Linked DNA regions of Caenorhabditis elegans. The protein of the gene in region 1 interacts with the protein of each later gene in a pairwise test. Each region holds a gene or a part of one and is shown on either strand. Other genes may lie near its edges.

Region 1 (6,679 bases):
AAGAGTACATGTTATCCGCTGATCTTTCTTCAGTTCTGGTAGTGACTGCTTGTGCACTTCGACTCCCAATATATATGGTAAGTGATTATAAATTTGAATTTGTCAGTTCGAAATTTTATTGTAACAATCCTCAAATTTACTGGCTGAAACGGGACGTTGCAAATGTTTTCAGATGTTTCTTTAGAGATATAAACTGTAACACAAAATCAACTCATACTTTTTTTCATTTCAGCTGTGCAATCCGGAGCTTCGAAGAGCTGTAAAAAAGTCATTCACTCATAAAAGCGAACATCAACAAAAGATGCATCAAACCTTTTCTCTGATTGCAAAGATTTTAGTTTAATAGTTTCAATTCTATGTATGTAATTCAATTGTTTTAACTGTGATTTGTAATTCCAAATGATCAACGGGTCATCGGTTTTTTTCACAATTGTGACTAAATTCTTATAAATATGTAAATTTCAAGTGTAAGCATGACGTCACATAAGATGTGATTCTTTCTGCGTAACAATACCATTTCATAGTTCACTGCGTATTTTTGTTGCTGGTCATAAAGATTTATTCATAAAGCTGTGATTCTGCAATTTTTTTGACAATTCAACTTAAATTATTCAAAAAGGGCAGCGTAAAAGATCAAGAACTATTTAAATATTTACAAAACCCGTAGAAAGGTCATGAAAATCTATGTAAGGGAATGTTTGAGAAAATATATAAAGATGGGAGAATTAAGATAATCTAGGCAAACTCTATAAGCCCTGGCAACTCTCGTGGTCGACTTGTTTGTGCCGTGAATAAATCCTCAGTGAACTCCTCTCTTGGCTCTTTATCGATACTGAACTCGACAGATTTTCTGGGGATTTCTCCATTGTTTGGCCCAATGAATTCAGTTTCAGAAGAGGAAGAGGATGATGAAGAAATTCCAGCTTCTCCTTCTTTTGGCCTCATTTCTCCAGTTACTTCTGGAATTTGTTCACCTTCTGGGAACCATGGGCGAGCTGAAAGAAAATTGTGTGAAAGGAATGTGAAACAAATTTAAAAAACATAGAGCTCCTGTTTTAACAAATCCCCACTGTTTCAATAAATATATAATCACATACGTCTATGTCTTCCTCCATTTTCACTTTCAGATCTTTCAGTACCAATTAAAGTTGGTGGACGAGTGACTCCCAATGAGAATGGAGGTGATGGAGGTGGTTGTTGAGGGGGCATTGGCATTCCACGACCTGTAATTTTTTATTTAAGATAGAAAAAGTTCCAGAGAAAGAAGAATTATAGATGTTCAAAGTTCATATGATGTACGTGTTAAACTTGAAATGGAAAACAAAGACATTGATGCTTGATCAAGATAACTTTATGAACAGATGATTTTCCTTTTGAACGATTAGCTTCTGCTTTCCAGAAAATTCCTATAGTCAAACTTACCCAAAAATGAGAAAAAGTTTTTGACATTATCCATAAAACTTCCAAACTGTCCGGCTGGATGACCAGGATTTGGCTCATTTCCAAATTGCACCTGACTTCCCATTTCAACACCTTCACGTCCTCCACCAATTCCCCCATCAACTCCAACACGTTGTCCGCCGACAAGAGCTCCATTATTAGCTGAAAAAGGAAATTATTGAATATTACATCAAAGGCAAAATACAGTAAATTTAAATGAAAATTATTAATGAAAAGAAAGTTAGATTGAGAAGTCCATACTGTTAAAAAATGTTATAATTATAAATAAAAAAAATAATTATATCTAACTAATAGTAAGATTGTTAAATTTTTAATAATTAATACATGCTAAATCAATTATAAAAATAAAAGTTGGGTACAACTTAAAAATAACTTCGCATATAAAGTAATGGGAAGTCTTCAAAACCTTGGTTTGAATCTAATAGTAAGCCAGTAATCAACACATTTTCAAAAGAAAACTGTAATGACTCGGTCATCTTTCGAGCAGTAGGAGCTATTCAACATATAACAATTTACCGATTGGGCATGCAGCCAGGCCTACGTTATTAAATCTGTACACGAAGAGTTCTTAGTCTTTAGAGTTTTGCAATTTTGTTGTTAAAAGTGTTAATACTCACATCCCAAAGCAAATCCAGCTCTGTTACCAGCTAAATTAAAGCTACGATCACCTCCAAATCCTAAAATATTTGCTCCTTGTCCCATTCCCATGTCGAAGCCGCCATTGTTCTGCTGAGGATGGAGAAAGAATGATCCGAGATTTATTTGAGAAGAGCCTGTAAAATTGAATAATACGAGTGAATTATAGTGAGGTCAATAGTTAATTTCAATAGTAAATTTTTGTATTATTGATCTAACTCTTTAGTTTAAAGCTGAAAAACCATAATTTTACTTATAGGGTGATAAAATGGATGAATACCGTATTGAAAAATATTTAAAAAAAACTGAAATTTTTCCTTTACAGATAGAGTCAAAAAGTGGAAATTGATTTCTATTACTTTTGACCACACATGATTTTGGAAGCCGATCAAAGAAAATTTGCAAATAATTTCGATTTTAATTTTTTGCGATCCTAATTCGAACGTTGTAAGTTTCTGAATATGCAGCATTTCTCAAAAAAAAATGCAGCATTTCTCAAAAATTTGGTGATTTTCCTTGTGCTTCAGAAGCTTCAGAAAGCTTCAGAAGATCTTGTTTCAATGATTTTTAAAATACACACACACTCCCCATTAGCCATCATATGAGACCCACCCGCCAAACTGTCTGCTTCACCCGTTTACCCCCTTTTCTGATCATGTGTTTTGTCCTCTGTTACGGTCATCTATTCATTACACACATACAACATTTTTGCCTCCTTTTTGAATTCTTTATTCCATTGTTCAAAGAGTGCCTGACTCATTACAACCTCGTTTATACTTTCAAACAAATGAATTTCTTGTCACTCTCAAATTGGGAAGGTGTGGGTGGTTTCAGAGATTAACAAGGAAAAGCATCATTAAGTGTATAACGTGACTGTTGTTGTCTTAAAAGTGATGTCAGAGTGAAGACAATAGTGATTCGGGAGGAAAATTATATGAAGATACGTACCTTGTTTGATTGATAACAGTAGTATTAGAAGTGTTGATTTCATTCTTGATGCTGAAAATGTTCAACTTTAAATTTTAATACTTTTAATATGTAACAGCAAAATTGAAAACCTAGAAAATAAGATAACAGTTTTAGAAAAACTACATAATATTCTATAGTTTCAAAATTTTCAAATTTAGATTTCAGATGCAAAAAAATTGACTCAGAAAAATGAAATTCTAAAATAACTTCAATTGTAAAATAGAAAGAATTTTACTTTAAAAAAATTTGAATCTTTTAATCAGTTAATTTGGACTGAAGTCAAAGCATTGAAACGATTCAAAACTATAACTGAAAAGTCAGCCAATTTTATGAGCGAAATGAAATTGAAAGGAAAAAGTTATACTAGTATCTGTACTAAATAAGATGAAAGTAGTATAAATTGAAAGAAATCACTTTCAGTTGGACGAAGAAGCGAGAAAAAAATGTAGAAGAGCGGTTTGGTCACTTTTATGAAAAGTATTCGCTATGAAACCATGTAACGAAACAAGGCGGACCGAAGGAATTGACCTTGGTCACCTCGTATTCTCGAAAATGATGGACGATACAAACTGAAACTGATTGAAGGCTGTGAAAGGGGCAGAGAAGAAGAGAATGACTGCCCTCCCCTGCTACTACTTCTGATGCCATTTTACACCTATTGTATTGTTGGCCCCAATTTGCATTTACAAACAACGAGATTGAAAAGGAATTTGAAATGAGGAGAAGAAGGTGGAGATAGATGACTTGGAGGCTGGATGTTTGGGAGACTAAAAACACCAGGTTTCACACTTTTTTTTGCTGATTCTAGAATGATGGGAAATAGAATATGATTAGTAAACAAGATCGTTTGTTAAAAAAAAGTCCAAGGAAGGTATGCCCATTGGTTTTTTTATGCTAAGATTTATTTAATCAATCTGATTCTATTAACAATGTTAAAGTTGAAACCATGTTCAATATTTTTTTTTTGAGCATTAAAAATATCCATATTCACCGTGAAAACTAAAAAGCTAACACTAAGATTTTTTTTGCTCGTTTCTTTCTACACGTGAAGGGAACAAATCCAGAAAAGCCATCATTTTGTAAAATTACGAAGTCACTTTTGATAGTTTCGTATGTGAGTTAAATTTTCTTGTTTTCTTAAGAAATACACTTGGCAATTACAGAATGTTATCTCTAACAGCTCATTTGGTTTTAATTAGCACAATCATCGTCAAATGTTCTGCTTTCTCCAAAAAGCCCAGCGAGAGAGCCAAGCCTGCAGCCGTAAGTAGCTATTATGATTTGAGATTCAAAAATAATGTTTTTAGGTGAAAAAAGCTGTGGAAGATAAGCAACCAGTGAAAGTGACAGCTTTCGAACAAGCTTCTTTGAACGAGTGAGTTATCTGAAATGTGAGCGCTCAACAAATCTTAATATTTTTAGAGACAAGGCTGAGGCGATGTCAAATATTGAGCCATCTCCCAAGATCTCAAACTCCACCGTGCCTACAGCTCCTACTCCAAAGAAGGAAAAGAAGGTGGTGGCCACAACCAAAAAAACGGAAAGATCTGTAGCTCAGGGACCACCGCTAGTTTCGGAACATATTAAAGATGGTAAGAATTAAAAAACAAGTATGAAATAATTAGTTACCGTTTCAGAGAAGAAAATGCCATCGGTTCATAAGCCAATTCGAAAAGGATCGATTTACGCGAATGAATTATTGACTGAAAAACCATTGACTGACACTGAACCAGAACTTCATCCAGACAATCATGTTGTGAAGGCCAAATCGCCAAAACCAGTTGCTCGAACTCCAACTGCACGCCATCGTAATGCTCTGAAACCAGGAAAAATCAATGATAAAAGTGATGATACACTTCATGATGCTCCATCGATTCAGAAAGTAGGAGGTCCCAGTTATGAAGATGTGAGTGATTTGTTGATATTCAAAATAAAAAATAAAAATAGTTACAGGCAGCTTCTGTCAACGAAAAAGAAAAAGATGTCAATCCGAAATGAATCAACGAAGGAATGAGCTCGAATAAAAATGTATTGCCCTTTGAATACGATTAAGTCAATAAAATGTTTGCTGTATTCTTGTTGTAAATCTCATTGATTTCTCGTGGTTAAAAATAAATTCTAACTTCGAGAATCGATTGAAGAACTCATAACTCACAATCAGATCGAAAAGGAGGCTACAGTTTCGGGAATCAGCTTTCAAAAATCGGAAGGCGACGATGGTGGCGTCTCCCATAACAGCATCAACCTAACCAATTGGCAAACAGTAAAAATCTAAAATATATTTGTAACTGTTCTCCCAGTTGGTCCCCAGAAACAACCAAGAGGTGAGCTACCATGATGAACATTGCGAAGCAAGATAAATAGTGAAAATATGAGATTATTAGAATATTATTCATTTATTTCCATCTTTCCATGTTTCTGTCTCACATACACACTTCAGTCATCACCGATTATCCATTTGAGAGCACATTTATGCTTTGACGCTTCACGATGTTATCCTAAATGGCAGGGCCATCTGTCATCGGTTCATGCTCATATTGGCTCAAGTTGCGAGAGAGAAATATGGTGTTTGATGATCGGTGTATGTGTTATTCGACTCATGTTTTAATAGTTAGTCGTGATTGAATGAAAAGTTTAAAAATAATGTTTCAAAATCAGATTGATATCTTCGATGGGTATTTGACATTCAGTAATTATAGGTTAGAAAAATTATTCACATTATTTTTTTCAAATGGAGTTTCAAAATAATGGCCACACAAAAGCTATTTATATATATATACAATTTAAATCGTCTTCTGAGAAATTTTAATAATAGTAAGTTGCGCCGAGTTTAACACAAAAATCAGAAAATTAAAATTTAAAATCAATTGAATTGGAAAATACAACAATTTAAAAAAAAAATCTTCTGAAAAACCACACAATACATATTCGAGACCTATATCCAATTAAAACTTAAGAGGTTTTGCTTTGATGTTTACCACTTCTTCTATTCAAATCTCAGCGTAACTCTGTCAATCACACATTTCCCGATTACGTAACTTTGTCATTTTTTGAATGATGTAGATAATAGTCATCTGCAGGAACAATTTCCACCCTCAACAAATGCAATAAAATGAAATATGACCTCTTTTGATGAAGAAAAAGTGGAAGATCAAGTGTCTCGAATTTCTCGAAAAACAATCCAATCAAACTAAAATTTTCCACATCCGACCTTCGCAGGAATTTGAAAAAACAAATGAGGTCCTCGGGGTCTCCCATAGCAACTCACTCTGCGTCTCTTCCTCTCACGCACTGTCTCCCCAATATTTCGTAACTCTTGTCTGCGTCTCGTGCTCTCTACTTCTGACATCCGGAGCCGTCGGTCCATGCGTGCGCGAATTCGTATGTCTGGGCACTCTTTCTCCTCTTCCAAAGCCATGAAACCTTTTCCCATTTGTCCTTTCTTTCCATTTGGTCTCTTTGGTGGTCCCTTTTCTTATATATCCTTCAAATTGTAGTATTTGTTGTTAAGATTGATCTGAAGCTTTCCAAAAATGTTGCAAGTTATGTTTTCAATTGATACATATTTTTGTTTGAGTTGTTTTGAACATTTTTGGGGAAAGAAAGCTTTTTC
Region 2 (5,404 bases), on another chromosome or scaffold:
TGAATCTTCTGATATGCATTAGTGCATGAGTCAAAATTGCCTGGCAAAGTCTCGACGATGGTCACCGGTGCAGCCTGGAATTATTGCATTTATAATTAATTAATTATTAACTCTTAATAACCTCATAATTGAAATAGTGACCAATAAAAGCTCCTTCCAATCTCAAAGTCTCGATAAACCACTCGGAAAATTCTCTCAAATCGGCTCGCTTCTTGTCATTCAGGTTATTGACAGTCACGACCATCGCCCATTTCGACTTGAAATCCGCCTTCTGATGGGCAACCATTTTCTGAAAAATGTACATTTTTATTAATTAAACAGTAAATTTTACAAGAAAACTGAAGAAACAGGCCGAGAAAATCAGAAAAAATGAAAAAGAAATCTCCGAAATTAATTTTTGAAACAATTTCCCGCGTTTGAAAATGGCTTCGTACGGTAGAGCGTACTTGCAGCTTGTTTGAAACCTCAGTTTTAGGGATCGAAATCTCCCATGGAAGTAGAAATGCCAGGAAAACATGATTTAAACACAATTTTACTCATAAAAGCTTTTTACAAATACAAAAATAAATAAAATAAAGTCGAGAAAAGAGACAAATCATTGATAGAACACACGAATTGCGAGGCGACGTCGGTTCTGGGAATAGAAGAACTCGGAGGAAAATTTGGAGTAGGAACGGCTGGGGATCAGAGCATAGTCGATGGCGAGCTGGAAATCGGAAATTGAAGTTTTATTCAATAGAATTATAAAATAACCTTATCAATGGAAACTCCAGGATCCGAAAAATCATCGAAGTAGTTGCCAGTGACTCCAACACGGATTGTCATGCTTTGTCCGCTCAGAAGAACTCCAGAAGTTGGAGCAGCGATGAGGTAGGCGTCGGCATTTGTCTGAAATTATCGGTTTTCAAACAATTTACATTATACAATTCAATTTGTGTATATTACGGGAGCACAAAATTTCTAGAATGCGTCTAGAAATTTCTAGAAATTTCTAGATTTTCTAGAAATCTAGAAATTTCTAGATTTCTAGAATGTTGACGCGCAAAATATCTTGTAGCGAAAACTACAGTAATTCTTTAAAGGACTACTTTAGCACTTGTGTCGATATACGGGTTTCGTTTTCGAAATGAAAACAATTCGTTTCTTCGAATTATTTACTTTTTTGCTTAATTTTAATATTCTATCGATATTTCGAAAATCCATATCTAATTAGCTATCTAAAAATTTCTATCTAGAATCGAGCCGTTAAATCGACACAAGAGCTACAGTAGTCGTTTAAAGAATTACTGTAGTTTTCGCTACGAGATATATTGCGCGTCAAATATGTTGCGCCATAAGCATTCTCAGAATTTTGTGTTAAGTATTATCAAAATATATAAACTGACATGTGAAACGTGGCTTATTTTTTATTTTGTTTTTTATTTAAGCTCCTCCCATTCCTGGCCTTTCGTTAAAATTTTTATTTATTAGCTCATTTAAAAAAATGGGAGGCGCTTAAATAAAAAACAAAATAAAAAATAAGCCACGTTTCACATGTCAGTTTATATATTTTGATAATATCGTAATAATTTGCGAGTTAATTTTACACGCAAATTCGAATTTTCAATTTTTTTTTTCAGCAAAAATGTTTGGAAAATCACAAAGTACCAACTTGTGCGTAAAGTCCGATGCATTGAAGTCGGTGAATTGCACAAAAACCACAATACATACAATTTTACGCGCCAAACCGAGACCTCACCTTCAAAGCGAACATAATATGCGATTGCGAGACGTTAGTGACTCGAATAACTTCTTCCAGCTTGCCAGCGGCAAACGTGATCCGGTCGGCCGGCACGGTGACAATATCTGCTGCAGCTCCACCGCAGGCCAACGTCATCGCCGACATGGTCTGGAAATTCCGGCTTTCCTCGATTTTCATAGTTTTCAAAGTAGATGGAGACGGATTCTGGGTGCTCTGCATATCAAGTGACGGCACGAAACTGCACGCTGTGCTCATTTCCAAATTCTCTTCCACTGGGAATATGTATTGCAGCGAGTCATCCTCAGAAAACTGGGTTATCGTTGGTGTCATCGCATCGTAGTTCCGCAGAAAACCATCAGTCTCCAGCTGTGAAACCAGTGACGTCAGAACTTCAAGCTTCTCCGCGAATTTCCAGGTGGCGGGCACTGCGGACAAGTTGGAGCGGACCGCGTGGAAGAAAAATACGCCAAGGAGGCCACACTTGCAGAGATTGTATCCTTGAGCTGTTCCAGCGAATTGATCGATTAGAGCAGTGAGCCCGTAAAGGGTCCAGTAGAACAGAATTGAGTGCTGGAAAAATTAGCTTTAGTTTAGTGGATTTTTCGATTTTTAGAACATTTCCACCAAAATTATATGGGGACTATTCACGGATTTCTGGCTTCCCTCATAAATTGAAATGGAAGAGTTTTTGCCGAACTAGGCCATTTTAGCTCGGCCATATTTGGGGTAGATTTACGGCGCGTTGCGTGTCTTGTCGCGGCTCGGTTTCAGTTGTAAAACTAAATGTATTTGTCGGTGTGGAGTTTCAATGGAGCGCGAAAAATTCAATGAGGCAGGCCAGAACCCTGTGAAAAATATGGGTACACGGGCTTCCAGTCTCCCTCATTGCATTTTTCGCGCTCCACTGACAATCGCCAACCGGACAACGGGTGGAGAAGTCGTGTACTCCACGCGGACAAGACATTTAGTTTCACAATGAAAACCGAGCCGCGACGCGACACGCAACGCGCCGTAAACCTACCCCGACCGTGGCCGAGACAAAATGGCCTAATTCGGCAAACTCTTCCATTTCAAAATGTGAAGAAAGCCAGAAGTGGATACGGCCGTGCGGTACACCGACATCGATGCACCATGTTTTACGCGCAAACGAAGGAGGAAAAAATCCGGTGTATTACGTTGGTGGCCGAGTTTTTTTTTTCGCGACCACGTAGTGGAATTCGAAACTCACATATCCCTGCTTATCAGTCATCTGATTTGTCAAAACTCGATACGAAAAAAGAGCCGGCGGCACTGACGTCAGCGCGGTGCAAATTGTCTGAAAACAGAAAACTAGATGGCGGCTGCAAAAAATCAATAACCTGTGCATACTCTCCATTGATCAAGTACAAGCACATGGTCAGTGCAGATAATATGACAAGCTCTTTAGTTCCAACAAGCCCTTCAAAATATCGGCGCTCCCCTCCTCCTGGCTCGCCAGTCATTTCCAAATTGATCTGGCTCTTCTCGTGGCTAATGTGCTTCTGAGTTGCGGTGTCACCAGCGGCATGGTCTGAATGACGTCATAGGTGGCCTAGTTTACGGGGAGTGACGTCACTTACCGTAATAAAATTGCTTGCTTCGCTGTCCAATGCTTTCAAGCGCCATCTTCGAATTTGCTACTTTGCTAGCTTGTGAAAAATTCAAAATGATTGAAAATGCCCCCCCCCCCCCCTCCAAATAAAATTACGTAACTATTATTATTTTTATACTTCTCAAAGGTTCACGTTCCTATTATTGCATTTCCACAGCCGAAACATCATATTTGACGCGCAAAGTTTTCTTGTTCACGTGGAGTACACAAAGAAAGAACGAACTATTTTCTTGTAAACAATAGTCAACAGAAAAAAATCAATAAAATCAATAAAAAACCAGCATTTTTAAAAAGTAAGTCATTTTGAATATTCGCGAGGTTTGGGCAAATGGTATGACATGGAAAGATGAGAGAGAGAGAGAGGAAGAAACGTGGCAAAAAAACTGAAGAAATGAAAGAAAATATAGGGCTCTGAAAAACAAAATGGGAGAGATCCTGTGGGCGGCCGCGGAACGGTGATGACGTCAGCTCGCAATTGTACTACTGCAAAAAATTAAATTGAAAAGTGGCCTGTAAATCGGTGGCCGAAGTTTCCCCTATTCGAGGCCACGAAGCGCAGATCGCTGAACCTCATTCCTTGTGCGTATGTGCCTATGCCTTGCTAGTAGGTACGTAGGTAGCCTGAAAGACATGGGCACGTAAACAGGAAGCAGACAAGAAGTAGGTAGGTAGGCAGGCACTTTAGCAGGTAGGCAAGACGTATAAGCATGAGGCAGACCTAGAATAGAATAGGTAGGCATTGGATAGACAAGTAGGCAGGCATGTAAGCAAGTTTGCGTGAGGTAAGTAGTACCTTGCTAAAAACCTGCCTACTTCACGCAAGCTTGCTTACACGTCTGCCTACTTGTCTATCCAATGCCTACCTACCTACTCCATGTAGTTTCATTAAGTTTCCGTCTGGCTTGCACATGCTTGTTTCTATACCTACCTACTTGCCTATCCAATGCCTGCCTACCTGCTTCTTGTCTGCCTCGTATTTACGTGTCCATGTCTTTTTGAGCTGCCTACATACCTGCTTTACGCCTATCTACCCATTTGTCTTTCTCCTACTGTCCTGCTTACCTGCCTGCCTACTAGCCTTCCTCAAGCCTATCTGCCTACTTGATTACCTAGTGCCGTGCCTACGTGCCTATGCCTTTCTAGACTACCTATGTACCTGCCTTAAGCCTATCTGCTTACTTGCTTACCTTACAACCTAAACAAATTTATATTATTTGTTAGGTTACCTACGTACTTTGCCTCATGCCTGCCTGCCTTATTTTCGTCGGCATACTTGCCTACCTTACGCCTATCGTACGCCTACTTATTTAAATCGTGCCTACCTACCCAATTCTATGCAAATTTATGGAGATTGGTATCGCAAAATCAGGAAGTAAGAAGCAAAAAAAAATCGGTGGCCAAGTTTTCTTATTTTTCTCGGCCGCGCGGACAGGCGTACAAAAAGCAAACTTAGCAAAACACCGAGAACTTATAGAACAACTCAACAGTTTCTTACCAAATTCACTTTTTTGAGCTATTTTATCTTATGCGCATTTTTTGAGGCTTCAGTCCAAAGCATGCTGCATTTTGGCCTAAACTTTACAATTTTTCGTTGCAAATGACCAAGTTATGGGCGGAGTCAATGAAAAGTGTTTACCTAAATGTGTATGCTTGATGAGTTGTTGGCGGAAAGGTGCGAAGAGGTCGGCGGCGCGGCTCGTCGGATGCTTGGTGTCCGGCGCCAAACCTGCAAAAAATGTTGGGTGTAAAATTGATTTTTTGTATGAAATTTTCGAATATGCTGGTAGCAAAATTCGTATGAGCCTTTAAATTTCGTAGGGGTACTGTAGTTTTGCATTTCTCATATTTTGATGTTCGAGCTTTTTGTATTGATTTTTAGAATTGATTTTTTCCGGTAAGCCGGCAAATCGGCAAATTGCCGGAATTGAAAATTTCCGGCAAGTCGGCAAATAGGCAAATTGCCGAAATTGAAAATTTCCGGCAAAACGGCAAATAAGCAGATTGACGGAATTGAAATTTCCGGCAAATCAACA
Region 3 (3,469 bases), on another chromosome or scaffold:
TTTATTTACTGAATTTTGGAGCTTTTAATATTTTTTCGAGTGGCTTCCGACAGCTGTTCTATAGTAACACTAGCGTTCTATTTTCAAATCTCAAAAGCAACAAATCAGTAGAAAAACAAAGAGTTTAGAATAATACAAGAAGTAGAGTTATCCTTCTTCTCTTTCTCTGAAATGGGCCATTAGGTTCAGCCGTCGTTGGAAGAGTTTGTCGTGTCCTCTTCTCTCCGACAAGGCAATTTGTTATCCCTTTTCTTCTTTCCCGCCCCCCGTTTTTGACATACTTATTTTTTGAAACTTTATGTGTAGAGCAACAGACGACAACGAAAAAGACAAAAATTTGGCGGCGACAAAAGAAAAGACGAAAAGGCGCAAAAAAAAGGTGACAACAAAGACGAATGAAGTAGGAGACAGAGTCTTGAGTCGTGCGAAGCTTTTATTCGATTCTGGCTGTCGCATCCACTTTGATCTCATGCTTTCTGAATTATATTATGATGAGCTGAAACAGTACTTTAGATGACTTTTTATTCGTATCTTCTTATTTACATGCGTGATACAATGAAACTGACTCGTGACTGATGTAATTTGGATGTTTCCCAATAATTATTTTAGGGGCAAGGCAATACAAGGAAAAAGGAAATAAATTACTAAATATAAGCACAAACTGAATGAGAATCACAATTGTTAATTTCCTCCAAGTCTAGCTCCAACACCTCCTGGCCATTGGTGTCCACGTGGCTGCTGTCGTGCTCCTCTGATGTTTCCATCTTGACCGTGAATACCTCCGTCTTCGTCAGGAATCAAACGATGCAAAAATTCAGGAGTGGAGATCAAATCAACGCCGTATTCGTCTGGATATTTAAGAGCCACAAAGAAATAGGCATGTCCAACCAGAATTCCGACAAGTTCGTTGGTTCCACCACCACGGAGAACGGCATTGAAGCCCCAGAGCACCCATGGAAGGTAGCGAGCTGGGAATCGCATTCCAAACCAGAACGATACAATTGTGTCCTTGTTGACTTGGCACCAGACGTAAAGTACTGAGATCACCATCGGTTCGAGAAGGAAGTAGATATCCAGAGCCATGCAAAGTCCCTGCAAATTAATTATTTCCCATTTTAACACATTTATCTTTGATTTTTAAAATTATGCAGGATATTGCAATGTTATTTCCTTTTTTTTGAGCCAGCTTTAACATATTTTAAATTATATCTTCCAAAATTCGCATTAATAACTCGATAAAAGAGAACATTTAAATATAAAAGTTTTGGGATTTAAAATTTTTTCAGGATATTTTTAAAACAAAGATTTAAAACCGTACCGAGCAGAAGAACCAGTTGAAAATGAGCATGAAAAGGTAATCCGCTGATCTTCCGCGATATGTTTCACTTTCCAATGCTTTTGAATAGTTGTAAAGAAAATAGCACATCATCAGCCAATGGAATCCCGTCTGCGGTGTGACTGGATAATATATTAACGCTGTCAGAGGCCTCCAGAACTGAAATGTTTAACAATTAGTCTTATATAATTTCTGGACAAAATAATAAAAGTGTACCTGGAACTTGTTGACTACGAGATCCCATTGTAGAAACATCCATTGTACATTGATGAATCCGAATCTACCGAGAAGCGGTATAATTGTGGATGCGAGGAACCAATATCGTGTCACAATAGGGATCCCGAGAAGGAAATTTTCTAAATCCATCTGAAAATGTATTGATTTGCAGTGAAATATTGAAAAGGACAGATGAAAAGAACCGTAGAGAATAAAAGCTGACGTAGGATAAGGAAATACATACGCGTGTACCAAATTATCGATTTTTCTTTAACATGTTGAAATTTATGTTTTTCGCGCACCAAAATTTTTTAAATTATTATCAGGTTAATATTTCTGTTCGATTTTAAGGTATCTATACAATAATTGAATTATTTCAAATGAGAAAAATACTTTTTTTTTTACTTTAAGCAAAAACAATGGAAATCACAATTTTCTCCTTTAAAACGTTTTATTTTCCTCCGATAAAAAACCATTCTCAAAAATTCTTATCAATAATACTTAAAACGAAGTATTTTTTGTCATTTATGATAGTGTAATTTTCAAGACTTGCTTGACGCAGTGAAAACGCTTTGAAACCGAGGTTTTTATTGCTCAATTCCATGAAATTATGTTTAATATGTTGAAAATAAATATTTTAGTGAAAAATATACTAAAAATAAAAGATAAAAATGAAAAATAAGAAGAAAAAGAGAAGCATAGCAACGCTTTTCCACGCCGTCAATGCACTCTGGCGGGCAAATCGCTTCGAGACCCATTGACCGTACCCCTCTTCTCTCGTTTAAGTGAACGTGTCTTAGTCGGTCACACCACACACATAATTGATCGATTTGACGCTGAATTGAGATGGAATAAACAAGTTTTGCCACCTGTTCCATTTCCTTCAGATTTATTTGCAATATCTCAATGCTTTTTCTCCGCCAAAATTATTGATTTTTCCTTTAAAACCATTTAAAATGCACAAATGCCGCCCGTCTCGTGACTTTTCTCTATTTTTAAGTCGTTTTATGGCTTCTTATCACATTTTCCTTATTTTCAGAAGAATGACGGAAGATATCAACGTTGTGCCAGAACAAGTGTCACCATCTGATGATGTGGAATTGACGATCCGACAGGCGTACCAGGCAGAAAGCGATCTGAAATTTTCGTGTCCGACAAGTTGGACAATCAAAGAAGTCAAGGAGCATGTAAAGAATTGCCTGAATAATCATCCGGTGAGATTATAAATTCTGAAAATCCATAAAAAATATTTTGAATTGTTTTAGGAAGTTGTCACACAACGGCTGATTTTTTCTGGAGCTTCTCTGAACAACGAACAGGTTTTGGCAGACGTTTTAAGAGAAAGGTGAGTATTTCTTGACTGTTAATAAAATTCTGTTATAAAAATAAAGAAAATTTCAACAAAGATGGAAAATTTTGCAATTAATTATAAACTGAAATTATTTTAGAAATCATGTCGCCGGTGAACAAATCTTCTTTCATTTGATGATCGCACAACCATATCAACAAACAACTCCAACTGCGGATGTTCGTAGAAGAAATGTAAATAATACTGCATCAAATCAAAAGTGAGTTTTAACGTTTAATAGATATTTTAATAATTATTTGAAAATTATGTTTTTTTGCCGAGAAAATAATATTTTTAATTTAAAAAACCAAGTTAATTTTCAGTTCGGCATCGGGATCGGCTCTCAATGAATATGCTCAGAACATGGTTGCCTGGCAACAGTACTGGAATGCCTACAATCAACTGTCTCCGGAAGCTCAAGTTTCCGAGCATCAGCGATTAATGGCTCACTACTACACATACGCATCGACAACTCCCGCTGCACCAATTTATCAAGTTCCCGCCAACCAACAGCTTCAACAAAATGCAGTGGCGTGGAGAATTCGAGTTCAAGGGGTGGCCGCTCCCGC

What was found.
Region 2: the proteins of B0034.1 (region 1) and spe-47 interact in a two-hybrid assay, tested with the Caenorhabditis elegans proteins (one large-scale study listed by BioGRID).
Region 3: the proteins of B0034.1 (region 1) and cup-2 interact in a two-hybrid assay, tested with the Caenorhabditis elegans proteins (one large-scale study listed by BioGRID).

What each region holds. Positions count from the first base shown.
Region 1 is NC_003280.10:5,966,520-5,973,198, reverse strand, and holds B0034.1 (Glycine rich superfamily member), read right to left. Parts: upstream 4,704-6,679; 5' UTR 4,696-4,703; intron 4,659-4,695; coding exon of another isoform or gene 4,489-4,658; intron 4,442-4,488; coding exon of another isoform or gene 4,374-4,441; intron 4,330-4,373; coding exon of another isoform or gene 4,231-4,329; exon of another isoform or gene 4,230-4,230; intron 4,181-4,229; exon of another isoform or gene 3,668-4,180; intron 3,097-3,667; 5' UTR 3,089-3,096; coding exon 3,046-3,088; intron 2,235-3,045; coding exon 2,079-2,234; intron 1,603-2,078; coding exon 1,423-1,602; intron 1,224-1,422; coding exon 1,098-1,223; intron 996-1,097; coding exon 736-995; 3' UTR 537-735; downstream 1-536. Other genes in the region: B0034.5 (G-protein coupled receptors family 1 profile domain-containing protein), read left to right, coding at 1-77, 233-343; B0034.4 (uncharacterized protein), read left to right, coding at 4,231-4,329, 4,374-4,441, 4,489-4,658, 4,704-4,972, 5,020-5,064.
Region 2 is NC_003279.8:2,615,541-2,620,944, reverse strand, and holds spe-47 (Major sperm protein), read right to left. Parts: upstream 3,417-5,404; 5' UTR 3,386-3,416; coding exon 3,340-3,385; intron 3,291-3,339; coding exon 3,100-3,290; intron 3,057-3,099; coding exon 2,970-3,056; intron 2,312-2,969; coding exon 1,739-2,311; intron 889-1,738; coding exon 754-888; intron 707-753; coding exon 596-706; 3' UTR 515-595; downstream 1-514. Other genes in the region: Protein pid-3, read right to left, coding at 1-74, 122-286; ctn-1 (Alpha-catulin), read right to left, coding at 3,836-3,854, 5,008-5,097.
Region 3 is NC_003279.8:10,398,476-10,401,944, forward strand, and holds cup-2 (Derlin-1), read right to left. Parts: upstream 1,703-3,469; coding exon 1,553-1,702; intron 1,496-1,552; coding exon 1,319-1,495; intron 1,093-1,318; coding exon 682-1,092; 3' UTR 515-681; downstream 1-514. Other genes in the region: tag-353 (Ubiquitin-like domain-containing protein), read left to right, coding at 2,596-2,766, 2,818-2,897, 3,001-3,120, 3,224-3,469. UniProt on the Caenorhabditis elegans protein: Specifically required for the degradation process of misfolded endoplasmic reticulum (ER) luminal proteins.